Coturnix japonica: one gene and its partners. The protein of the gene in region 6 interacts with the protein of the main gene of each other region in a pairwise test. Links are inferred from orthologs where the notes say so. Each region holds a gene or a part of one and is shown on either strand. Other genes may lie near its edges.

Evidence for each region. The genes of interacting proteins can lie anywhere in the genome.
Region 1: the proteins of MTUS2 (region 6) and CCDC60 interact in binary tests that used the Homo sapiens proteins (3 or more experiments, as listed by UniProt). The two-hybrid records come from large-scale screens. The link is inferred for Coturnix japonica from reciprocal best matches to the Homo sapiens genes MTUS2 and CCDC60.
Region 2: the proteins of MTUS2 (region 6) and ENKD1 interact in binary tests that used the Homo sapiens proteins (3 or more experiments, as listed by UniProt). The link is inferred for Coturnix japonica from reciprocal best matches to the Homo sapiens genes MTUS2 and ENKD1.
Region 3: the proteins of MTUS2 (region 6) and DTNB interact in binary tests that used the Homo sapiens proteins (3 or more experiments, as listed by UniProt). The two-hybrid records come from large-scale screens. The link is inferred for Coturnix japonica from reciprocal best matches to the Homo sapiens genes MTUS2 and DTNB.
Region 4: the proteins of MTUS2 (region 6) and SPG7 interact in binary tests that used the Homo sapiens proteins (3 or more experiments, as listed by UniProt). The two-hybrid records come from large-scale screens. The link is inferred for Coturnix japonica from reciprocal best matches to the Homo sapiens genes MTUS2 and SPG7.
Region 5: the proteins of MTUS2 (region 6) and C7H21orf58 interact in a two-hybrid assay, tested with the Homo sapiens proteins (3 studies listed by BioGRID and IntAct). The two-hybrid records come from large-scale screens. The link is inferred for Coturnix japonica from reciprocal best matches to the Homo sapiens genes MTUS2 and C21orf58.

The regions. Positions count from the first base shown.
Region 1 is NC_029530.1:8,620,509-8,624,525, reverse strand, and holds the start of CCDC60 (coiled-coil domain-containing protein 60), read left to right. Parts: upstream 1-1,217; 5' UTR 1,218-1,485; coding exon 1,486-1,881; intron 1,882-4,017.
Region 2 is NC_029526.1:1,873,260-1,877,329, reverse strand, and holds the start of ENKD1 (enkurin domain-containing protein 1), read left to right. Parts: upstream 1-1,270; 5' UTR 1,271-1,296; coding exon 1,297-1,422; coding exon of another isoform or gene 1,423-1,484; intron 1,485-1,497; exon of another isoform or gene 1,498-1,517; intron 1,518-1,540; exon of another isoform or gene 1,541-2,070; coding exon 2,071-2,141; exon of another isoform or gene 2,142-2,201; intron 2,202-3,033; coding exon 3,034-3,128; intron 3,129-3,262; coding exon 3,263-3,487; intron 3,488-3,802; coding exon 3,803-3,975; intron 3,976-4,070. Other genes in the region: uncharacterized protein LOC116653968, read right to left, coding at 258-352, 444-770, 874-913. UniProt on the Homo sapiens protein: Microtubule-binding protein which regulates microtubule organization and stability. Promotes the stability of astral microtubules and facilitates the proper orientation of the mitotic spindle.
Region 3 is NC_029518.1:95,642,749-95,646,968, reverse strand, and holds the start of DTNB (dystrobrevin beta), read left to right. Parts: upstream 1-1,420; 5' UTR 1,421-1,479; exon of another isoform or gene 1,480-1,543; intron 1,544-1,869; 5' UTR 1,870-1,938; intron 1,939-3,481; exon of another isoform or gene 3,482-3,500; intron 3,501-4,220.
Region 4 is NC_029526.1:16,665,999-16,670,088, forward strand, and holds the start of SPG7 (paraplegin), read left to right. Parts: upstream 1-1,290; 5' UTR 1,291-1,408; coding exon 1,409-1,501; intron 1,502-3,066; coding exon 3,067-3,169; intron 3,170-4,068; coding exon 4,069-4,090. UniProt on the Homo sapiens protein: Catalytic component of the m-AAA protease, a protease that plays a key role in proteostasis of inner mitochondrial membrane proteins, and which is essential for axonal and neuron development.
Region 5 is NC_029522.1:2,271,132-2,275,095, reverse strand, and holds the start of C7H21orf58 (uncharacterized protein C21orf58 homolog), read left to right. Parts: upstream 1-1,164; 5' UTR 1,165-1,611; coding exon 1,612-1,872; intron 1,873-3,251; exon of another isoform or gene 3,252-3,964. Other genes in the region: PCNT (pericentrin), read right to left, coding at 691-735.
Region 6 is NC_029516.1:157,076,712-157,080,211, reverse strand, and holds part of MTUS2 (microtubule-associated tumor suppressor candidate 2), read left to right. Parts: coding exon 1-434; intron 435-3,500. UniProt on the Homo sapiens protein: Binds microtubules. Together with MAPRE1 may target the microtubule depolymerase KIF2C to the plus-end of microtubules. May regulate the dynamics of microtubules at their growing distal tip.

The sequences.
Region 1 (4,017 bases), on a different chromosome or scaffold from region 6:
GATTCATTTTGGCTGGCAGCGTGCGGAGCAGGGTAAACAACACACGAGCAGTTCCAGGGCGCTCCAAACGCATCAGGCACACTTGGAGGCCCTTCTTCTTCCCATAGCCAAGGGTGTCTGTGCCCCCAAATTGCTCAGCTCCCTCCTGCCCCATTCCCAGGCTGGCATAGGGCATCTCTGCCCCTATGACCCCTGCAGCCCCTCTGTGGTTGCTCCTATGACAGCCCTCCCTCCCTCCATTTCTATTTCCTTGTTTTGGAGATTTCTCTCTGCTGCATCCCTGTTCTCTACCTGCAGAGCACATCTCAGCCTGCAGAAGAGCTTGTGAAAACAGCCAATTACAACTGAAACAATGGAACGAATCAAGGTAAAGCATCTCCATGGTGAAGGTAAAGCAAAGCACTGAGCAAAAGATCATGCAAAGCCTCATGCTGGGCTTTGGGTCATTCCCACTCAGTGTGGGGTCAGAGCAGTGCTTGTACTAGAGGTAGGCAGCAGGTGAGGAGCTGGATGTCACCCACTTCATTTCTTTCTGTTCCATTTGCACCATGCACTGCGGCTCCAGGATCTTATTACTTCCCACCTCATCCCTTCAACACATGCAGCCAGGGCTAAATGACTTCTGTGCCTCATTAGCAATGGGATCACCACTGTGTTAGCTCAGAGGTGTTTCTCTTCCTGCCTCAAACACCCCAATCCAAAGAGGGCACCTTGTGTCTCCTGCTCTGCAAAGGGTATTTTGGGAGGATCTCCCACACTTCTCACTGGGTTTAATGCCAAAGGCCCCAGGAGCAAAGGGCATACAGGGCACAGCCAGGGTTCTGCTGGTAGCCACCAGGAAGGGATGCAGCTCCAGTACAGGAGGAATGAATGAGATTCATTAAGTTGCAGTGATAAGCTCCAGATGTTGGTAATGGTGCTTAATGGATCTAATGCACTTCTCATGGCTGTGCATCACCAATGCACCTTTGGAGACCCTTGGTCTATCACTCCTATCACTCCTGCTGCTTCTCGGTGTTTTTGAGACTAAAACGAGCATTAAAAGTGGCCTGTGGGTTGTGCAGCTTGGGTTCCAAATCCAATCTCAGCCAACTACATGTTCTCATGCCCACTGCCCATGGCTCCAGGGGTGGGAAACCCACCGCCCCCCGGGCAGCTCTGCCAGTGAGGGGAGGGGGCGGCCCTCAGGAGGGACCTTGAGGGGGGCGGGTGATGATGCTGCAGCCGTGGGTCTGAAGGGGTTTGTGCTATGGAGGGAGGTGCTCGGCTCTGTGTACTGCTGTTCCCTGGGAGACGGGGTGGGTGTTAGGTTCCCGGGCAGAGAAGGGTTTGTTGCCGTGGAAGGAGAGCTGGGGTTCCTCAGTGGCTGTTCCTGGGTGTAGGAGGTTGAAAAGGTGGTTTGCTACGAGGTGGGTTCGTTGTCATGGCTGAGAAAGTAAAGTTTGTATTAGCATAAGGAGCACTAACAGCTCCAGCGCTGGAGCGATGCCGGCGCCAGGTGCGCCCAAACTCAGCAGAGCTGAGGCACCTGTGGCATCTAACGCTCAGCTCAGGGCTGCTGCACCGCCGGAGCCGGCCAAGGACGGTGGAATCAAGGTGACATTATGCAGCAAAGTGCCGAACCCGAAAGACTTCGTGCGCATTCGGCCTCTGCCTTCATCGGCTCAGACAGATGGGAAGGTGTTGGCCAGGAGTTTTACGCTGTACCGGAGCCGCGGGCCGCCGTCAGAGCAAGTGTTCAAGGAGACGTGGCAGCGGAGGGAGCAGCAGCGCACACAGGCGCTATTCACCCCCCGAGGGAAGCCCTACCGAGAGCTGGGCGATCTGTCATGTGCCGACCCAAAGCATTTCACCCTGCGCTCCTTGGGACAGCTCGCAAAGGTAGAGCCGGCTTTCTGCTTGTCTTTGTATAGGAAACAAAGGCTTCTCTTTTAAGTCCCCGCATGCAGGGGAGGAGAATGATTGCTGTTGTTTAAATCAGTGTTCCCTGCCTTTCTTGTGGAGAGCTGCAGTCTGCCCTGCTGCTGGTACAGGGTGTTTGTACAGGCTGGGCAACTGCTTTGACCCGTGCTATGGTTTGGGAGCTGGCTTTTGTGACTGGGAGCAGCTGTTAGAATGGAGTCGGAGCAATGGAAAGTTAATGAATGAAAAAGAAACTGTGGAATAATGAATGTGATTTAATTAAGGGAGAAGGTACAAGGTGTGTCTGGACAGTGGGAGGAGAGAAACCATTTTGAGGGTGTGAGGATGAAGGGTTAAAAAGCAAGAGCAGACAGTGCTGGTATTTAAAGGGTCAAAGGCTCCAAGTTGTGGATGTCCCAGCCCTGGAGATGTTCAAGGCCAGGTTGGTTGGGGCCCTGGGAAGCCTGCTCTGGTGTAACCAACTGCTGTTGGTTTTCCTTTTCCCATCCTAAGAAGTAACAGTTACCACACTGGGACAACAAAGCATTTGCCTGGCCCTGAATGCTTTGCTCCATCCCCACAAGGAAGGCCCAGAACTTCAGGCTGTTCTCCCTCCCAGCCTCATTATTCAAGTTGCCAGTGTGCTTTGCAGAAACCAATTTAAGCTTTCATTTTCTTTTTCCAAACATACAAAACCAAAAGTGGGTTCCTAACGGCCCAATTTTAAAGTACTTTATGACCTGCATTTTGGTTTTGTGTGAATTATTTATGCCCAAATCCTTCCATCCCTTAGCAGTCCCCATAGCATCCTGAATACCTTAAGGATATTGTAGGTACCGGGTGCATCCAATTCCAGGTGCCTGAGAGTGCTATGAAATATGTTGTATTTGATGGATGACAAATACAACAAAAACAGCAAGGAGCTAATAAAGGCCCTGGGAATTCAGGGGGCTTCAGTATGTTGAATCTGCTGGCAAATGTCACAGATATGATAACAAAAGAAGCCCTTAGCAGCTAAAAACATTTTCATAATGAGTGTGCTGAGATGGTTACACAAAATGATATGGGCAGAGGATATTATATGTGGTGATTACATGTTTAGGGTCCTTTTTATAGCTACTGGATGCTAACAAATGTGTTTAGAGAAGCTGTATTTGTCCACTGATGCTGTGTCTTTATTAAGTACATTTGGTGGCTGAAGCCTGAGAGCTGATATTTGAATGTTCTGATTGTTGCATTGGAAACTGCTGCTCTGTGATCACACAGTGGAAGTGGCATCTGTCTTGCAATAAAAGCTGGCTCGGTGCAGAGACAGAATTCCCTTCCACTAAAACTCTCTGGAATGAAATGAGCCCATTTCCAGACTAGTAAGAGTATCTGGGAGGAAAAACTTAGCAAGTGTCCCTCAAACTCTTCACAGAGAGACTGATGAGGTGCTGGAACAGCTGCCCAGAGAGGCTGTAGATGCTCCATCCCTGGAGGTGTTCAAGGCCAGATTGGATGGAGCCCTGGGCAGCCTGGTCCAGTACCAGATCTGGAGGTTGGTGGTCCTGCCTGTGGCAGGGGGTTGGAAACTGATGATCCTTGGGGTTCCTTCCAACCCAAAGCCGTTCTGTGATTCTATGAACCTTTTGAATGTCCAGTACAAATAATTGGAAGTTACTTCATTCAGTCTGAGGGATTTTTTTTCTCTCTTTCTCAAAGGTCAACCACGTATTGCAGACAGCACTGATCCATGGATGCTTTCCAGACAGTATTTTTGATCTTTCAGAGCAATGTGTTAAAGGTCTTTTTCTTATTCCTTCATGTGGCAGCTCATGTGGTGATTGGCCGCCCTTTATCGATGTTTATGTAGCTTCTTTGCTTAATTGCTATGACAAATTCATTTGTTAAGCTTCTGAAGTGGCTCGTTGACTTTTCACACGGAAGAGAGGTGGCCTTTCTGACAGAGCCCTAAAAACAATCCAGGTTCACGAAATTATTACCGTCAAAGCCTACTCCATGCTTGTCATAAAAACCTATACTGTAATTCTGTGCTTTAGATAAATAGATCACTAGATAAGATTGACGGCAATATCAGCAATGAAAGGTTTTAAGCTGGAAACTGGAGAAGAA
Region 2 (4,070 bases), on a different chromosome or scaffold from region 6:
GGGCCCCTGGGAACACCCAGAGTGGCACACACGAGGGCAAAGCCTCCATCTCTGAGGGGCTGAGCCACAGCATCCTGCACATCTCTGCTCCCTCCCCATTGCCATGACCTGCTGGCAAGTCATTCCCCTCCTTGCTGGCCTGGTTGGCACAGAGTGCTCTGTGCCTGGCCCTGCATGTCAGAGGGGCTCCCAACCATGCATCGTGCTCACTGAGCCTTGCTGGACTTCTCTCTCCAGCCCTGGAGCAGCTGCCCTACCTGCTGCCTGCCTTCCCCTTCCCCTCCTGCTGGGCACATCAGCTCCGTGCTGAGGTTGATGTACTGATACAAGGGGCGCAGACGTGGCAGCCGGCCTGGAGGGGAATCACAGAACGGTTTAGGCTGGAAGGGACCTGAAAGATGACGGAGCTCCGACCTGCTGCCCTGTTCCCTATGGGTGCTCACCCAGCGCGTCCCGAGGTGGGACCTTTTTGCACGGCTGCGTGTTGCTCGTGCTTTTCCTCTTCTTGCTCTTTCCCTGCGGCTCGGCAGCGGGGTTGGCATCGCCCTCAGCAGCGGGGGGCTGCAAACCGGGGTCCTGCAGCACCTGCAGGTGAGTCCTGCGGGACAGGGATGTGCTGCAGGCCATGGCCAGCGCTGCGCCGTGCGGCTCAACACGGCGGTCGGTGCAGCACGAAGCCGGCTCCCGAAGGGGACGGGCCGCCTCACTTTGCGTCCTGCGTTGGGGCGGACATGGAGCAGCGCCGGGATCCGACAGCGGCCGGGAGGAGGCTGCGGGATGGACGGGGGGGCGTTACCGGGGGAACGCAGCAACAGCGCGGCACTAAGCCCGGCCCGTAGCGGGGCCGATCCGAGCCGCCCATCGTGCCCACACCTCCGTGCAGGCGGGGCTCAGCCCGGCACGGCCCCAACATCCCCCCCCGGCGGAAGCGGCGGTTGCCCGGAGCGCGGTGGGTGCGTGCGGTGCGGCCGGAGCCCGGCGGGTGCCTCCATCCTCCCCCATCCCATCCCATCACATCCATCCCATCCCATCCCGTCCCGTCCCCCCGCAGCGGTTCTGACCCGGTTCCTTCCGCCCATAACGGTAGGGAAGGAGCCAACGGCCCAATTGCCACGAGCGCTTTGCTCGGCCCCGGCTGTCTCGCTCTGCTGCTCGCAGCTCCTATCGCAGCTCTTATCGCAGCTCTTATCGCAGTTTATCCACAGATGGATTCATTTATTCCTTTGTTCCCCCCGTGCTTTTTGCAGAACCGGGCTCGGAGCAGCACAAAGCCGAACAACGCAGCTCCAGCTCCGCATGAGGTCGCAGCTCCCCGGCCGGGCTCGCAGCTCCGGTGGGTGGCACCGAGCTGTGCTGGAAGAGGAACGGCCGGGAGGAGCGAACTGCGGGCAGCTCAGTTTCCCTGCCCCCCCTGCAGCCCGGGTGAGCAGGAGCTGCTCACGTACATCTGTTTGCTGCTGGCAACAGCTGCTTTTGATGCTCAGGTTTCTAACACAGCTTTACAGATGCTTTCCTAGGTGCATATTAGGGCTGGCCTTGCTCCACCTGTAGCCACGTGCTCCTGCTGCTCTCCTCCTGCTTGCACGGTGCATCTCTGGTTCCTGCGTGGGGTTGCAGCTGGGTGGGATGCAGCCTGCTCAGCCCTCAGCTTCCAAACAGCCCCATCCTCCAGCCCTGCTGTCCCACCGATAGGAGCAAAGCAGCCACCTGCAAATCCTGCTCTAGGGAGCTGTAGGTTTGGATGCTTCATCCTAAGGCCAGATGATGATGATGATGCTGGGGATGCTGGGGGCTGTTGTCCCACATGGGAGGGTTTGCTGTGAGCACCCAGATAGGCAAAGCACTGTCATAGTGCTGTGTGATCTTGTGAGATCCAAAGCCAGAGGCAGCGTGACTTGTAAATCAGGGTGTGGGTGTCATCTGCAGGCTGCCTGCAGCAGGGCAGGGTGCCACTGGGATGTGGGCCCTGTGTTCAGGTACAGGAGGAGCCTTCCATCCCCCACCTCCCATCCCATCTGCCTGCCTTTCCCCCTCCAGCCCCCCCTGCTCTAATTGCCTGCTCTGTTACAGGGCCTGCTTTCACTCTGTCATTTTGCACCTAAATTACTGGCGTTGGAGGAGAGTTCAGACCGAGATCAGATGTGAGTCTCAAGGCCAGTAACTATCCCGGAGTCATCTCTTGGAGGATGCTTTTGTTCTTGGTATAAGAGAGTCCATTCTGGCTTAGCTCTGTCCATTTTAAATGGGATTAAATAAGAAGAGAATGGTGCTGTTTTACTGCAGCCTGAGACTCTGAAGCATTTCAGGAGTAGCCTTTGCAGGATGACTGGGTACAAAGCAGCCTCTGGACATGCCTGCTGGTGTGCAGTGCTTGCACTGCTTGCGTTGCCTCTGCAGTTGTGTCTGGGAGATGAATAATAGCTTTTTGCTAATGGGTCTCATGTCAACAAGGGTAATTGAACAGGGAAGACAGCAGTGCATTAGTTGCTATGAGTCAGGCTCGCTCAGCCTTGCACTGGTTGTTTATTGGTTTCTAAATGAAATGGGAGATGCTGTGTCCTGTCAGTGCTGGAATGCTGAGGATCCTAAAAGGGGCTCTTCCCATAGGGCTGAATCTGTTGGTATTGCAGACCCAGGAGTCAGATTTTCTGTGCTGAAGCTGTAGGCAGACATTGAGGATCAGTGCTGGTCAGTCCTGCAGTAGGGGTGGTGCTGCTGGATCCTTTGCCTTACCTACATGAAATCACAGCACGGTTGAGTTACAAGGGACCTCAAAGCCCACCCAGCCCCAAGCCCTGTTGGAGGCTGGTTGCTCCCCAGCTCAGGCTGCCCAGGGTCCATCCATAGCCTGGGGCACCTGCAGGGATGGGCACCCACAGCACTGGGCAGCCATGGGGTCCATTTGGGGTTGTTTCCTACTTGCAGGTTGTCCCTGCAGTTGGATATGAGCTCTCTGACATTAGCTGCAGCTCTGCAGTGGCTCCGTGAGCTGTGTTTAGTTCACCTCTCACTCATGGTCGGTTTCCATTGCAGAGACAGCAGAATGTGTGAAGGGCCATCCAAGATTTCTGGGCCCATCCCTCCAGACCCTACGGTCTTCCCAGACTATTACAGACGCCCTTTCTCAGGTGAGTCCTTGGGTGCTTATAAGAAGGGAAAACATGAGGCAGAGGTGCAGGGGGACCTTTGGCATCACTTGCTTGAAGAAAGCAGTGATGTGAGATGGTGCCAACCTGCTTTTTGTTTCTTTCTTTCTCTGTAGCTCGGGGGAGGCTGGAAGGCAATGCTCAGCGGTTGGATTTTACCTCTCACCCCACGGATTCAGCTCCCAGCTCAGCCCGTGCTTTGAGCAGTGCCCAGCAGCCCCAACCAGCCCCTCGCATCCGCCCCAGCGGGAGGGACTACTTGGAGAAGGGGCAGAAGGGAACGCTCGGCCTCCTGCTGCAGCTCGATGGGCTCTCTCTTGGTGGGGGTCTGCCAGCAAAGAGTAAGTGCTGCCTGGCTCTTATTGGCTTTGTATCCTGGCATTGCCCCAGGCTCTGGATGGTGCCAGTGTGGTGGTTGCCACAACCACTGTGCCAAAACTGGAAGGGAACCAGCTGAGGTCTTCCAAAAACAGGGTCAGCCCTCCCAGCATGGGGGGCAGAATGCACAGATTGTGTGGTCTTTGGTGGGGGGAGGACTTGCTGTTTCCACGGGTGGATTTAGAGATGGAGCTGTCAGCTCTGGTGTTGTGATCCAGGAGCCTACGTCTGCTGGCAGTGTTTGAGGGCTGAAAGCTGTGTCTCCCCTCGCTGTGCAGGGAAAGAGTCCAAGGACCATGAGAAGGAAAACGTGAGGAGAATAAAGGAGATTCAGAAGAAGTGCAAAGAGAGGGAGCGAGCCCAGGAGCGCAGCCAGCCCAAACCTGTGAAAGCTCTATGGAAATCCCAGAAATATGAGAACGTGGAGTCGAAGGTGAAGGCCAGACTGCAGGTGTGTGCCCAGGGGGCTCTTCAACTCTCCTGGCGGGTCAGAAGAATAAAATCCCATCACCCGTTCTGCCTGCTGCCTCCTGTCGTAGCAATCTG
Region 3 (4,220 bases), on a different chromosome or scaffold from region 6:
GAAGGAGATGTTTTTGGTGATCTGAGAGATTCCTTCCAGTCTGACATTTCTAATCACTCCATGAACCACGTCACATTTGGAGATGCCGTATGAAGGAGGGTCCGGCTCACCCGCTGTCACAACGCAGTGAGCTCAGACAAGCGATGGTTGTGTAAGCTTCATGCTCTGGCTCTTCAATGTGCCATCAAGAGCTCCCCTTGGAGCAGCCAATTCTGCACAAATCTCTCCTGTTGTAAGACCAGACCTGAGGTGGTGCTGTCCTCCTGCACTTCACCTTTCCGACAGCCAGCGGCTCCAATCTGCGCCATATTTTGCACCATTCATCACTGAGGAGAGGTTTGTCCTTGGAATGACTTTGCTGCCTCAGTGCTGGTGAGACCTCACAGCTGGGGAGCTCGGGCTGCTCCCTTTCCTTGGGTCTCTGTGGTTTCTTTGTGGTTCTTTTAGTATTCTTGCATCACTATGGGAAAAGAAAGAAAAAGAACACAGGCACATGAAAACCCATACACAGCCTGTTGGAAAATATCTCCTTTTACTTCAGATTAATTGAAAAATACACTGAGTTATTCCAAGTCCTCCACTTCTCCCTACAACACCTAACCAACCCCAAGGCTTTATTTTTCTGCTTTTATTTCTTCTTCCCTGCTGCTAAATTTGGGTTTGCCGTCTCCCTTCACACTTACCGAGACCCTTTGCTGACCTCCCCCTGAAGCTGGGCCAAACCACAGCTCTTTAAATGGCAGCTGTGCTGAAGCTGAGTCCCAGGAGGTGTTTTGCTCTTGTAATTCCATTCAGATGCGGATGGCTCCAATGCAGTGGGGGCACAGGGCAGGCAGCAGCGCTGGATGAGAAGAGGTAGAATTGTTTTACACAGCATCCCAGTTGGGTAAAAGGAAAACATAACAGTGGGCTGAATTAAAGTGTTACTGAGAGAGAACTCAAAGAGGGGAGGTTGAGGTTGGATGTCAGGGGGAAGTTATTTACTGTGAGAGCGATGAGGTGCTGGAACAGCTGCTCAATGAGGCTGTGGATGCTCCGTCCATCCTTGAGGGTGTTCATGGCCAGGTTGGATGTGGCCCTGAGCAGCCTGGGCTGGTATTAGATGTGGAGGGGGTTGAAGCTTCACTACCGCCATCTCGACGTCCCCTCATCGCCCTGAGGAGAGGCGCTGACCGCCCACTGCGCCTGCGCAGGAGACGGGAGCGCGCGAAGCCCCGCCGGCTGTTGATTGGCTGGAGAGCACGAGCGCTCCCGAGGAGGGGCGGGGCGAGCTCACGCACGTCCGCCGCCGGAGAAGCGTCCGCTCGCCGATTGGCTGTGGAGGTGAGGAGGCGGGGCGAGGCACGAGGGCTCGCTCAGCCATTGGCTCTCGGAGGCAGAGGGCGGGGTGGGATTGGCCGGAGGGTGCGCGCCCCCGCGGAGACGCTTTGCGATTGGCTGCGCGCCGTGAGGCGGCCGGGGACCGTTGGAGTGGGGACGGTGAGGCGGAGCGGCGGTGGATGCGGCCCGGGCGGAGCGGGGCGGGGCGGCCAACACGGTTATGGTGTGTGGGGGCTGCGGGCATCAATGGGACCGGTCGGATTGTCTATGTATTGGGCTGCGCTAATAGCGGCGGGCTCCGAGAGCCGAGAAACGGGGAGGGCGGCGTGGGGCTGAGGAAGGAGACCCGTCCCAAGCTCGGTGCTGGGAGTGCTGGGCCCTCCAGGCCGTGACATGGGCAGCCCGTCCGTGTACCGACGTGGAGCCTCCCGCTAAGGGTGCAGCATGAAGTTGGGTCTTAGCTTGAGCTGAACGGGGCCGATAACCGGCTGTTTGTCATAGTGGCTCTTTCTTTTTTTTTCTTTTCTCGTGTGGTTGGTTGTTTTTCAGGTCGTCCTTCGATGTTGGCAGAAGGAGTTGAGGTGGCTGCTGCCCTGAGAGGCTCCGTGTGCCATCCAGGTAATGTGGCATCCAGGTAACTGTGGCTGGGCTGATGTGCACGGAGCTAAACAGGCTGTGTCTGTGGGTTCATGGTCAACAGAGCATCCTTAGGGTTGGAAGGGAACCTTAAAGACCACCTGTCCCACTGAGCAGGGACACACAGCTCCATCAGTGCTCACAGCCCATCCAGCCTGACCTTGGCTGTGTGCAGGGATATCCAGCACCTCTCTAGGCAACCTGATGGACCTGGAGAGCCATAGTGCTATATATGTATATGTCATAGTGGTGAGGCTGGTCTCTTTTCAGTAGTGCGTGGGGATAGGACTAGGGGTAATGGGATGAAAGTACAACATAGGAAGTTCCTTTATACAGTGAGGGTGACGGAGCACTGGAACAGGCTGCACAGGGAGGTGGTGGAGTCTCCTTCTCTGGAGATATTTAAGACTCGCCTGGACGCCTACCTGTGTGACATGGTGTAGGGAGCTGCTTTGGCAGGGGGGTTGGACTCGATGATCTCTAGAGGTCCCTTCCAACCCCTACAATTCTGTGATTCTGTGCAGCGCTCCTCTTATTCATAAGTGATTGTTAAGCCCTAGATAGGCTGGGGAGCCCTTTGCCAATGGTTTGTGTGCTGCTTGAGAACGCTCTGATAACACTCGAGCCACTGCCTTGAGTTTGGTCATCAGCTGTGCAGTGCTGCTCTTTAAAAACGCTTTGTACTTTCAGTTTTCTTATTCACGTTCCTGAAACTGAGTGTGCAGTGCGTCAGCTTCCTTGTTCTGCTGTTGGCTGCTGTGGCTTTCCAGGCAAAAAAAAAAAAAAAGAAGTTAAAATTCTCATTTCCACGTTGGGAAATGTGAGAAACGTTGGCCTGAAGAATTACTTGGGTTGGTTTTTATTTGTCCTCCTGCCTTTCATTGGTAAGTGTGTGTGATCCTGTACTGCCAGCTGATATTACAAAGTGCACTCGAAGGAATAGAGGTAACCCAGAATTGTCTGTTTGAGGCTGTTGCTTTCTGTGTTTCCAAAGGATATTTTAGATTAGTGGAGAGTTTGGGTAAAAGGGTGTTGTTGCTGACAAGCAACTGGAGAAGATGGAAAGAATTAATTGCTGTAGGGCAGTTCCAGCTTAGCCCTCTCGTTCGTCACATTATTTGTCAGTACCAGCATAAATAACAGTTGTGAGTGGTATAGAAAGCAGCCTGCTTTTCTTAGCCTTATCACTGCTGCTCTTTAACTTTGTGCTTTTGGGGTGGTGAGATTTGGTGATAAGGACTTAAATTTGTAACATTTATGTTGAGTTATGTTTCGGGTTTTTCTCTCAGTGCCAAAGTGGAGAAATCATGATTGTAAGGTGCACATTTGGTTTAGTGTTTAGATAGGCTCCTGCTGATAACTTGTGCCTAAGCTTAGCTTCGTGGCTCTCTTGCAGTCATGGAATGAATCATAGAATGGCCTGGGTTGAAAAGGACCACAGTGATCATCCAGTTCCCCCTGCTGTGTGCAGGGTCACCAACCATCAGACCAGGCTGCCCAGAGCCACATCCAGCCTGGCCTTGAATGCCTGCAGGGAAGGAAAGGTGCTGTATCATATCTGTGTGCTTTTTACAAAACCTTCTTTAGAAGCAGCTCCTGATCCACTGTGTTTAAAAGAAAATTAACAAACACAAGGGAAAGCCCCCAAAATGTAAAAGCAACACCAAAAAAACGCTAACTTGTGACTTTGCAATGTAATTCAATACAGGCTTGGTCTTGATCTGGAGTTTCTTGATGATGCTCTTTTAAACTGCCATTCATTATGGCTTGTGAAGTTCTTAAGCAAACATTGGAGCTTTGTTTGGGATCCGTAGAACCGGGAGGTGTATGCGGTTCCTCATGGATGCTCTGTTGTCAGGTTGGTGTAGATATTGAGGTAACATATCAAAGCATTCTTAATACTTCTGTGCACCATTACTTATGCTTTAATTAATTCCATTTAGGGTTGGGAACTGAGTCTGAAATTGTAGTTGAACTAGAAGAATGATCAGAATTGTGTAAAATATGCTTTGAAAGAAGGCGTTGGTGGTCTGTTAGTGTGAGTGGCTCTTCTTTTTCTGTCCTTGGGTTTCCATTGAATGGTTTGGGTTGGAAGGGACATTAAACCTGTTAAATGTATGCCCATGAAATAACTACTAGAGCTCTTCCTTTTTCCTGGTAAGAGGTGTAGTGAAGTAAAGAATCATAGAATTAATTACAGAATGGCCTGGGTTGAAAAGGACCACAATGATCATCTGATTTCAGCCCCCCTGTTATGTGCAGGG
Region 4 (4,090 bases), on a different chromosome or scaffold from region 6:
ATCTCTCACATGCAGAGAGGACAGCACTTGCCTTCCCATGCACAGCTCAGCCTGAGCCGCCCACGCAGGAGTCGCAGTGCAACCATGGCGATTGCTGGCTGCACACAGAGCAGAACTTCTTGCTTCTCCTTCCTGGCATAGCTTTGTGTTGGCACGAGCAAGGCAAGGACCCCAGCACCCCCTTCCTGGTGGCTCGTCATCTGCTTGTCTTTGAGGCACAGTGTGAAAGAGGAATAGGAATTGCGTCAATTCCAGCTATGTGGTGTGTCTGAAAATAACCAGTCCTTGCAGATCTGTCACATCGAGGCCAACATCTTCTGGCTGAGAGGGTCCCAGAAAGAGCCCCACAGACCTGAAATGCTGTTTGCTGCAGTCAGTGAGCCCACATAGGCTCAGATAGACCAGGGTCTGTGCTGGAGCTTGGACTCACTCAGCTCTCGGAACCTTAATTCATTAAATGGGTGCAAGTTTGCCTGCACTGAGGCTGCAGAAAAAAGCATAAGGCAGGTGTAGCAAAACCCGTTTGGCTCCCTGTTGGGTCAGCATGGCAGAAGGCAGGACTGTCCTAAGCAAACTGCACAGCTTCACTTCTAATCGGGCTGTAATTCAATTGAAATGATGCAAGTCTTAAAAATAGATAGGCTTAATTAGCAACAGGTCTATTCACAGAGTCGGTAGAAGCACATTGTGACATGGCTTGAGCGAAGCTGTGGTAGCGAGGTACACGCTGCAAGCTCTGACCGGCCCATACAGACTAATTGCAAGCAGCTTAATTTTGTGTCTGTAAATTAAGCTGTTTGACGATTAAGGCAGTGATACACAGAGACTTCCAGGAGTGACGGGGACATTAACATGCTAATAGAGCTTGCTGGTGGAAGGTTTGCTCAGATACATCCCAGGGGGCAGATGACAATTAACGTCCTGAGAGACTCTTCTGGAAAGAGGATGGTAATTCAGACCTGCTGGGAAGGAAGAGATCCTTCACACTGATAATGATTTATGATTCCTTGACGTAGCCCTGCAATCTGCACTTCAAGAACGCCTGAGGTACATCAGGGTGGGTGAACTGGGAGAACCAACAGTGACAATACTGAGAGGACGGCCTGCATGGCCATCCCGGGGAGGAAAACAGGACAGAAGGAAGAATGTATATTTCTGCAGGGGATAAAATGGCAAATCAAAGCAATCAATGGTCAGGTGCGGGCTCATCCCGGTGCTGAGCTCGGAGCTCCCCGTCGCTGCGTTAACCGCGCTCCCGCCCCGCGCTGTCCCGCCCCCCGTGTCCGCCATCTTGCGGCATGGCAGCACGGCCGCGGCCCGCCCGGCCCCAAGATGGCCGCCCGCCCTTCACCGCCCGCTTCCGTCCCGCTGAGGCCTGCGGCTCCGGTTGCGGCGCGGCCGGCGGCTCATGGCGCTGCTTCGGCTCCTGCTGCTGCGGGGCCGCTGCGGATGGAGGCCTAACCCCGCGGTGTGGGCCCGGCCTCGGCCCCGGGGCCTGCAGGTAACGGAGCGCGGCTGGGCGATGCGGGGCCTGCGGGGGGAGCGGGGCGGTGCGGTGCTCGGAGGGCAATGGGTGCGGGAATAGAGATGGGAAAGGGCTTGGGTTGTTTAGAGCGAGACATAGACTTGTATGTAAAGTCATAGTCATACAATTGTAGAATCCTTAGGGTTGGAAGGGACCTTTAAGGGCCGTCTGTCCAGCTCCCCTGCAATGAACGGGGACACCATCAGGTGCTCAGAGCCTGGCCCTGGGATGGACCATCCATTGCATCCCTGCACAACCAGCTCCAGGGCCTGGCTGTGCTCTGTGTGTGTCACTGCCTGCTGGGGTTGTTTGGGAGGGTGTGGAACTGCTGTAGTGCTAATTAACAGCTGGGAGAGACCATTCTTATTTCTAAATCCTTACTAAAGACTATGGGAGACTGATTGATACTGAAGAAGTCTGACTCAGTGAATGTCACTCAAAGCAAATGCATCTTAATTTGGCAGGTTTCAATCTCAGATCCCAAAATATCTGGGTCAGCAGATGGGAAAATTGTCCAGAAAAGCCAGATTGGTGTATCTTGTGTGGAGGAATTCAGCTGTGGAGCCTGGTGCCCTGATTTCAGCACTGGTTGAGGTTAATGCACTGCCTGGGCACAGCCCATGGCAGGAGGTTGGAACAGATGACCTGTAAGGTCCCTTCTGACCCAAGCCATTCCGTGATTCTATGAGCTAGGCCTCCTGTAGGACTTAAAGCTCTCTAAAGTGCAGGGATCGAGTGCAGGCAGCCAGGTAGGCAGTGGAGGAAGGACAGCTGTGGGATTGCTGTGTGCATCATGCCAGGCTTTCCAACTGCTTCGGTTCTGTGATCCATTTAAATTAGTCCACAGTGTTCCACCCCAAAAAGCACTGGTGCTAACAGGGCAGCACAAGCAGCTGTGTTGCTGTCTAGCAAGTAAGGAGGGTGAGGGATTTCAGCCTAGTTGTTGCTCCTGTCTGGCTTGCTGCACAGCAGCTTGTCTCTGCCATTGAGGCACAGCGGGACAGGGAAACATACAGCTGAGAAAGGGGAAGACTTGTGTTTACTCAGGGTATTAGTTTGTGTCAACCTTCAGATGCTGTGAAATCACCCTTCCGTGTGGATTTCAGCCATAGGTTTGCTGCTGAATTCCCGTGGGGAAAACAGTTGTGTTACTGTTGTGAGAAGGGCTACAGTGTAGTAATGCTTAAGATTATCTGCTAGGGGAGGGTGTGTTTGTATCTGAAGAGTTGATTTCCCACCTATCTCTATAGCAGGGGCACAGCAAGGGAGCTGATCACAGTATCCAAGTGTTTTGAGTATACGTTTCTATTTATACTTGCTTTAAACTGGATTGTAAACAACATCTTCACAGTCACATGGCAAGCTCATAGCACAACCAGGAATAATATTTGGAGCTTCCAGCTGCCGGTCCTGTGACTTACCCACAATATTTTCATGTCCAGAAATCTTTGTCTCACGGGATGTGGGGCTGCTAAGCAGTCACGGTACTTTTCCAATAGTTGTCTTATTTTTGTTGTTGTTTCCTTAATCTTCCTCTTCAGGGCCTCCTGTCACAAACAGTTTCCCCCACGTGTCAAGGTCTCGGTGGGGTCCTGGTGAAGCAGCGCATCATCCGAGATCCAGCCAGGCTTTGGAATCTCTTAGGTGAGTCTTGAAGAACAACTGTACAGATGGAGGAGGAAAAAGGTCTTCTATAGGAAGCGTGTTGACTTTTCCTCGAGTTGAAATCAGGCTGTTCTGTTCTTGGCTTTGGGGACAGTGAGCAATCTGCAGGGGTTCTGGGTTATTGTTTGATGGCATAGAGGGACAGTAGCACCTTTCCCCAAGGAGCTCGGTGTGATGAAGCACTGGAGTCATCAGTCATTTATGAGCAGCAGACTTCAGACCGGACAGTCTTACTGTGTCTCATTAGCAAAGTTAAGAAGAAAACATCATTCACTATGAGAAACTGAAGCTTAAATCACTTACCTCGCTTCTCTCATTTTTTGTTGTTTTCTTGACAAAAAAAGCCTTCACTCCATTGTTCTGCAGCATCCACTCTGAGTTTTATTGTTTGTTGCCATGCTTTCTTGGCTTTTATTAGAGAATCCCAGCAGTGTGTTTTGAGAAACCTGCTTTTAACTCCAGCACACGGTTTCCTTTAGTGCCCATTTCCAGCTCCACTGTGAGGCTGCTTTTAACTGACCGTACCAGTTAACTTCAGTTATGCCTTGGGGAGTGTTTAAATGTTTCAGTACTGAATGCACTGCTCCAAATGATTTTCTTTGCCATACTGAAATCATGTCTGAACAAACTCATCTCTTCAATTGAATTGTTGAGAAGTGTATGTTATATAAGGAAACTGGAGGAGTCTGTCCCTCCCATTACTCCCTCTTATGAGGCTGTTTCATTTTCTTGGCAGGCAAATGGAGCTGTGTTCTTGGGTGGGTGTGGAACTTGGATTTCTGTGCGTTTGGATCTCATGTGTTTCTGCTGTCCTTGGTCCACCTCTCTCTGTCACCTGAGGTCTTTGGTGGTGACTGTGTAACTCTGCTTGCTTGCAGGTAGCACTTGCTATTTTACTAC
Region 5 (3,964 bases), on a different chromosome or scaffold from region 6:
CTTGATGGCTAACAGCATCATGGATGATACACTTCAGACTTCAGTTGGCCTCGCCGGCTGCCTGGGCACACTACTGACTCACACTCAACGTGCCATAGATCCAAATCTCTTTGAGAGACCTCGTGGCTGAGGGCTAGCATGTAACTATCTCATTCAGCAGTAACTTCTGAAAGCACACAGCAGCAACAGCTCAAAGAACAGCAGAAATACCGAACCACACGCCACCACAAACCGGCTTCCTGAACGACACGGTCACCAAAACAAAGCACAAGCCGGTAGCTCCCAGTTGCACATCAAGCACTGACCATACGGGCACACTCCGCAGATGGCAGGTACCAAAGGGAGCGGTGGCGACGCTCGCACCCAGAACTCTCCGTTGCCCCCAGCCGCGCGGCGGGGCCTCACCGTCCAGCCGGCCGCCCGAGGGCCTGCCCTGGCTGCAGCCCCGATGGGTCGCGGGAACGGCGCTGGAGCGGCAAAGCACGCAGCTCCCGCTCCCAGGCTGTTCTCCTGGAAACAAACCTTGAGAAACGGCAGAAACATGAGAGGAAGAAACAAAAACAACGCAAACAAACGCGGACCCGCAGGGCAGGGAGGAGAACAGCCGCTCTCCGCCAGGCTGCACCCCGCGGCCTCCGCCCGCCGCGCAGCGCGGCACAGCCCGCAGAGCAGCGACGCGCCGCTCCTCACCTTGGCTCTGCCAGCCTCCAGCTTGCGCGCCCGCGCCTCCTCCATCTCCTACAGAGCACGAACAACAGGACCCTACCGCGGTACAGGGCGCAGCCCGGCAGGCACACAACTTTCAGTCATGGCCGCCCCGCGGCTTTCGCCCCGCCCGCTTCCACTCAATTCGCCAATCGCGAGGCAGCAATTGTGGGCTTTGGCCAATCAGGTAGAAGAGGTGGAGCGGCCTGCCGGGGAAGGAAGGAAGCTCTGCGGGGATTGGCGAGAATCGCCGCGCCCGGGGAGCCCGCAGCCAATGCCGCGAGAGATGGTTGTCCCCGCCCCGCCCGCTGCCTCTCAGTAACTCCTGCGATTGACGGCAGCGCCCTCCGCTTCGACCCGCCCCACTCCAGCGGCCGCCAATGAAAGACGCCGCCTGCCGCGGCGCGCGGCTCGTTTCAAACGGGAAGCTCCGCCAATGGGGACGGCGGGGTGGCGCCCGGGAAAGCAGCCCGCCACTCGGCGCCGTGCTGTGGGCTGCGCGGCCTCGCGTCACGGCCGCTCTTCGGGCTCTTCTTCGCTGTTCTACAGCTCGGCTGTACAGCTCGGCACTGCCTGCCTTTGTTGCGGGAGGAGCAGCTGGGGGGAACTTGCCTGCTAACGGTAGGAGTGTAGTAAACAATACGTAAGAAAACGAGGGAGAAATAAGGTGCTCTGTACAACTTCACATTCATCTGCCATACTGGGAGCCTCTCCATCTCTTCAACTCACTGGACCACAACTGAAGGGCAACATAACAAGACACGGTTTTTAAAAGTGATTTCTCACCATATCTTAGTTCAGAGGTAACCTGTTGTAAAACACTGGCTTTTCCTTTCCAAGAAGCCTAAAAATGAAAATGTGTGTGGAAAGAAGCACAAGAAAGAAACACGTTCTAAGAACCAAAGGATGTTCTGTCTCAAAAAGAACCTTACTGACAGCCTAGTCCTGACCTGCCATGACTGGTTGTCCCCATCATCCTCCATCTTATTTATAAGCTTTCCCCAAGTACTGGAAGTCCTCAATGAGGTCTCCCCTCTGGCTGAACAAACCCAGATCCCTCAACCTTTCTTCATAGAGGTGCTCCAACCCTCTTATAATCTCTGTGGCTGCTCCAACAGCTCTGTGTCCTTCTCATGCTGGGGTCACGAGCTGGAGGCTGTCCTGCAGGTAAGGAATAAAGCATTGGTCCAATATGTTATATCCAAGTAAATATTTCAGCATGAAACAAAATAAATGGGGGAAAAAAAGAAAAAAGTAGACCAGTCAACTATACAGGGATATTGGACCAGAAAGTGACAGGAGATAAGCTCCTGAGACAGCACTTGGTCGCCTCCTGCCCTATTAACCCTTGGCTGTTTTCCTCCAGGAGCACTTCCAGGTGCTATGCAGTGGCCGTGCACTAAGCCAGGAAGCTTAGTTCCTTCCCAGTCAACCCTAGAAAAAGAGCAAATTTGTACTGTGAAATTTCTCAGTGCAAAAGCTTGAGTAGTTGACATGTTTTGAGAAGTAAAAGGAAATTGGAAAGCTTGGAACAAAGAATCTTAAAAGATAATGTTATAGTGTTTATCCTGGCAATTGAGCCAAATTAGATACATTACTTGAATGGATTTGCTTTAAAATAAATTACTACTTTTACTTATTATTGATAAAACCTGATTTAAATAACTAATAGTAACTAAATAACTCATGTTTGTTTGGGTTGAATGCCTTTTGGCTTACTGATATTTATTTGAATAACTAATTTGTGTTGTATTTCCTTCTATTTCTGCATGTTACAATTTCACCATTTCTAGTGCTAGTCTAACTACATTGCCTCCAGAACAGCAGTGCTTAAGAAAACCTCTCTTGGTTAGGGTTTCAGCTGTCCAGTAGTCTGCCACCACTGGACTTAGAGCACAGAATTCAGGTTTTGTGCTGTTGGATTAGCTTTGCCACACAAAGGATCATCGTGATAGAAGGATAAAGGGAAAATGCTCATTGTTGTTGAAGGTTCACAGCAAACTCCATAGAGGAACAATCTCCAGAGGAAGAGATGCTGCCTTAGTGGCAGTCAGCCCTTAAATGAGACCTGGGAAAGATGGAGCCAAGCTCCACCCCTTCTGGTAGCAGAGCTGAATTACCTTCACCTGTGCTCCCACAGCTGACTCATTGCTTGCTTCAGGTGGTTAATCAGAGATTCAGGTTGTGATCAACAGTTTCCCATACACCAGGTATGTCTGTTTGTTTCCTTTTCTAACATGTTTTAGAAAATAGTAATTAATATTGAGGCATAAAGTATCAAAGTCAATAAAAGACATCATAGAAGTGTAGTACTGGTTCAGAGCTCACCATTCTGTAACTGAAGAAGGATCTGATCCACCTGCAGTGTTCATCACGACTTCTTATGTGAATTGTTTATAAACATATTCTGTGAGAGCCCTTACTTACATAGCAGCTCCATCACTTATCATAAAATTAAGTTTTGTTTTTTTTTTGTTTTTTTTTTCTGTTTTCAACTGGTTTTCATTTTTATCATTAAGTCAAATGTTTCTTGCTCAGACTTTTCAGGCAATAAAATAAATCAATCGTGTCCTTAATATTCTTTCATTTATATTGCTAATTGGCTCTATCTCAACATTTAATCAATAAATTAAACAATGCCCGTTCTTCAAAGTCTTTCTCAGACCTTGTATTTTGTAAATCTACCATTCCTTCCATTTTTTCCCCTGGACTTCCTTTCCCTCTTATGCTGCCATGTCTAAAATTAGACACAGTGACTTCAAACTATGACTTCAGCACTGCTAAATAGAGCAGAATAATTACCTCCTGTGAGGTGCACATAATACCCCTGTTAATATTTTTCAGAATCAAATTTTTCTGGCTTTGCTTTTTTTGGATTTTCATGTTCATTTATGATCCCTGGTTCGTGATGCACAGTAACTACAGAAGCACCTTTTGTACAAGACCCTTGTGACTGGCATGCTGCTGGCAAGTTGGAAGATGTCCCTGTAGTAGGGATCCCACTATGATCAGAGCATCCATAGGTTCTGGAAAGCATTTTTTAGCTAATATTAGATTTTCTCTGGGACCTTGTCACATCAAGCAAAGGTTTCTCTTTCTGTCCTCTAACAGTCATCCCAGTTACTTAACACTCCTAATATATTTTTAATTAAATACTTCAGTGGGGCTGTTTTTGTCAACCTTTCTTGTAACCCTCTATTCCTATTACGATGAAGAGTTTAGAAACTTAACTTCTAGGGGATACTTTAAGAAACAACTA
Region 6 (3,500 bases):
CTGCCAGCAGCAGCGCAATCCCCAAACCTATCCTGGTTCACTCCAAGGGCTCCCTCACAGATAAGGTGGATGCTGACAGTGACTGCAGTGAGAAACTGGAAGAAAGCATGGAGGTGAAACCTGCCATACCCAAGCCTAAACCCGTGAGACCTAAAATCATCACATACATCAGAAGAAACCCTCGTTCAATAGAGCAGCTTGACCCTTCATTTGCACCAGCAGGGCTGCCATACGGTACCGCAGCATGCACAGTGCCCATCTCCACAGAGCAGAAGGCATCTGGTGGAGGGGAGGGGAAGGCCCCCAGCATCCTGTATGACAAATTTAAACCTGACCTCCAGAAGCCAAGACTCTTCAGTTCTGGGCTGGTAGTGTCAGGAATTAGGCCTCCAGGTCATCACTTTGGCCCAATGGGTGAGAAGTTTTTGCAGGAGGTAAGCAGGTGGCTTTGACACTTTTGTGTGCTGGGTTGTGAGTGTTTGCTTACTTGTTGCTGCCAGAAGTTAGTTCTCAAACCACGAAGAAGTAAATCCTAAAGCAAAGCAATACATGATCAGTAGGAATAAACGTAACCTTTTCTGGCACTGACCTTGATGTGGTGTCTGATCTGTGACTGGAAGTTGTCACCGTGTTCCTCCAGCATTTCCCAGCATACAAGTCACCTGCTAGTGTATAAATAGAGATGTTTAGATAGGAAAAGGTGTGCTGGTTGAATTTATCCTTAAATGGATCTTCTGTTTTTTTTCCAAAGAACATCTTTTGGAAATTAATGTGATTTGCCTGCAGAAACTTTTCCTCCTTAATGGGAATCTTGGCTGGTTTTTGCAGTCCAAGCGCTAGCGGTCCATATGCATTCGCTTCTGTTCAGCTATACAGAAAAACAGGAACTGTCAGATTTCATTAGATTATATACATCATGCAGGAAAAGATTTCCTTTTGACTCATTTTAAGCAGTGTTCTGTATTGCCTACCATCTTAAATGAGAAAACACCTTTCCTGGGAAAGTCTTCCTGAGCAGCCAAAAGGTAATGGAAGTCCCACTGCCCACTTCTGGGACCTTATATCTGGTTGTGTTTCCACTTTGGTAAGCCAGGCAGGAGTGCAGGCTCCCTTAGTCCCTGCTGGGAGTTGGGCACAGTTGTTCAATGTTGATGTTGCTTGGTAGGTGGTGAAAAGGACAGGGAAGAGGGGGTTATATTTAGGTCTGTGATGTGCCCTTGAGTCTACTGCTTTGGACCTATGGTAGCTAGCTCAACAGAAAAGCTTTCTATGTAAATATCAAAGATCCCACAACTGTATTTAATTTTAACCAATTCTAAAATTAAAAAAAATAAATACAATTATTCATTTTATATACCTACCTCATTCTATATACAGTATTTATCCATGGAACAGCCTTGAAATAACACATTTGGTGACAGAGCTGACAATCAGAAGCCAGCAAATACCCACATTAAAATCTCATGTGTGACTGTTGGTTGGCCCTTCTTGCATGTTAACAGACAACTGTTCAGGTGATCTTAGAGTACAGATTTTGGTAAGAGTATTATCACATCTCAAGCAAAGTGCTTGCTGCCTTTCCCATTCAGGTTCCATAGTCCATGCCTTATGTTTTTCATCCAGAGGACAGATTAATAAAGTCACTGTGAGCTTGTCTGTGCCAGCCATTACTAGGGTATCTTCACAATCTCCCTGCAAGTTGAGAGAAAATTGCTGGATTATTACCATTTAACTGAAGTTAAAACCAGTGTAATGCAGGCTGTGCAGCTGTCTGGCTTTTTATGGGGTGACATGACCTTCATTAGCTTGGAGAAGAGAAGGCTCCAGGGGGACCTCATTGTGGCCTTTCAGTAGTTGAAGGGAGCACATAAACAGGATTGGGGAATGGCTGTCTATGAGGGTGGATAGTGACAGGACAAGGGGGATTGGTTTTAAACTGAGACGGGGGGGGTTTAGGTTAGATATTAGGGGGAGTTTTTCACACAGAGGTTGGTGACACACTGGAAGAGGTTGCCCAACGAGGTTGTGGGTGCCCCATCCCTGCAGGCATTCAAGGCCAGGCTGGATGTGGCTCTGGGCAGCCTCGTCTGGTGGTTGGTGACCCTGCACATAGCAGGGGGGTTGAAACGGGATGATCACTGTGGTCCTTTTCAACCTTGGCCATTCTATGATTCTCTGATTCTCTAGACCATAGTTTTCTACAGTCCATACTGTTGCTATTTGGAAAATCAGGCAACATTAGCTAACACAGCTGGAAACTAAGGACCAATTTCTGCTAACTGTGGAGGAGTATGTACATGAAAAGTACTGAGGTTATGGCAGGTATGCAGTGTGGTTTGCTCTACAGTAGAGTTAGCAGGATAACATTTATTTTCTGGAGAGGGACCAAAGCATCCTATCCCCCTGTAAATATGACTGAGTGGGTCTTTCAAGTGAAAGGAAAGCAATTGGAATGGGTTGAGGTATATCAGAATCACCCTGGCAGACTGGCAGTGTTGAAGACTCAAAGCTTTTGTAGACAAGGATATGCTGGGGCAGGATGACTACTCTACATCAACTTTGTGAGGGAAATATTCACATACCGCCCCATTTCACATATCCAATTTGGGCTTTGATCAGCATTTTTCTTTACATAGCTATGATGAGGCTGTTAATAGCTGCTATCAATCAGACCTGTAATCTCTAAGCAGCCATCAGCTTGCTAAGCAGTAGGCACAATTAAATGCCCCCTTTGGTGCTGTGAGCTGGAAGTAACAGGGAGGTGTTGTCTTGGGCATGACCTGTCTGAGGAAGGCTCGAGGGCTGTCTCTGAGGCTTTAATGTCTGACAGTGTTATAAACAAAGCAACATGAAGGAAGGTGTTAAGCAGCCTCACCTCCTGGCAGGGCTGCCGTATCTGCTCAGAGTTACCCAGGCTGTGGAAATTCCCAAATGGTTCATGTGTTTGCTTGCAGACTTTCCAGCTCTTTCTGACAAGTTCATTAAATGGGAGGAGTGGGGAATGCACAGTACAGTTCTGAGCTGAGCTTCCTGTTAGTGGATGGGCTGTACTAATCCAAATCTGTTTCAGCAGCTCTGTAGTGGCCTTATGATCAATAGTTGCATATGACTCTATGGGAACCAGTTAAATCCTGCGTTTGAGGAATTCATTGTTTAATACAAAAGAAAAAGGAACGTGTCTTATTAACAAGTTTACGTCTCTTTGTGAGCTCAGATCTCTAAGAACCAAATCTATTTCCTGAGAGACAGTTGGGTAAATCCTTCTTACTTCTTTCAGCTTGAGAAAATGTTTTATCCTTGTGATTGTTATGTGTGCATAAATCTGTGTTACCTGTAGCATGCTGTCAATAAAGATGAAAATGAGGTGACTGGAGGTTTCATTAAGCTGACCCAGTTTATTAGAATTGCCTGCGTTCTATATTTAGGGATTTTCCCTGCTCCTCATAATGAAGTACTTGGCATAAATACATTTGTTATATTTATTGGCAGCCAATATGAGA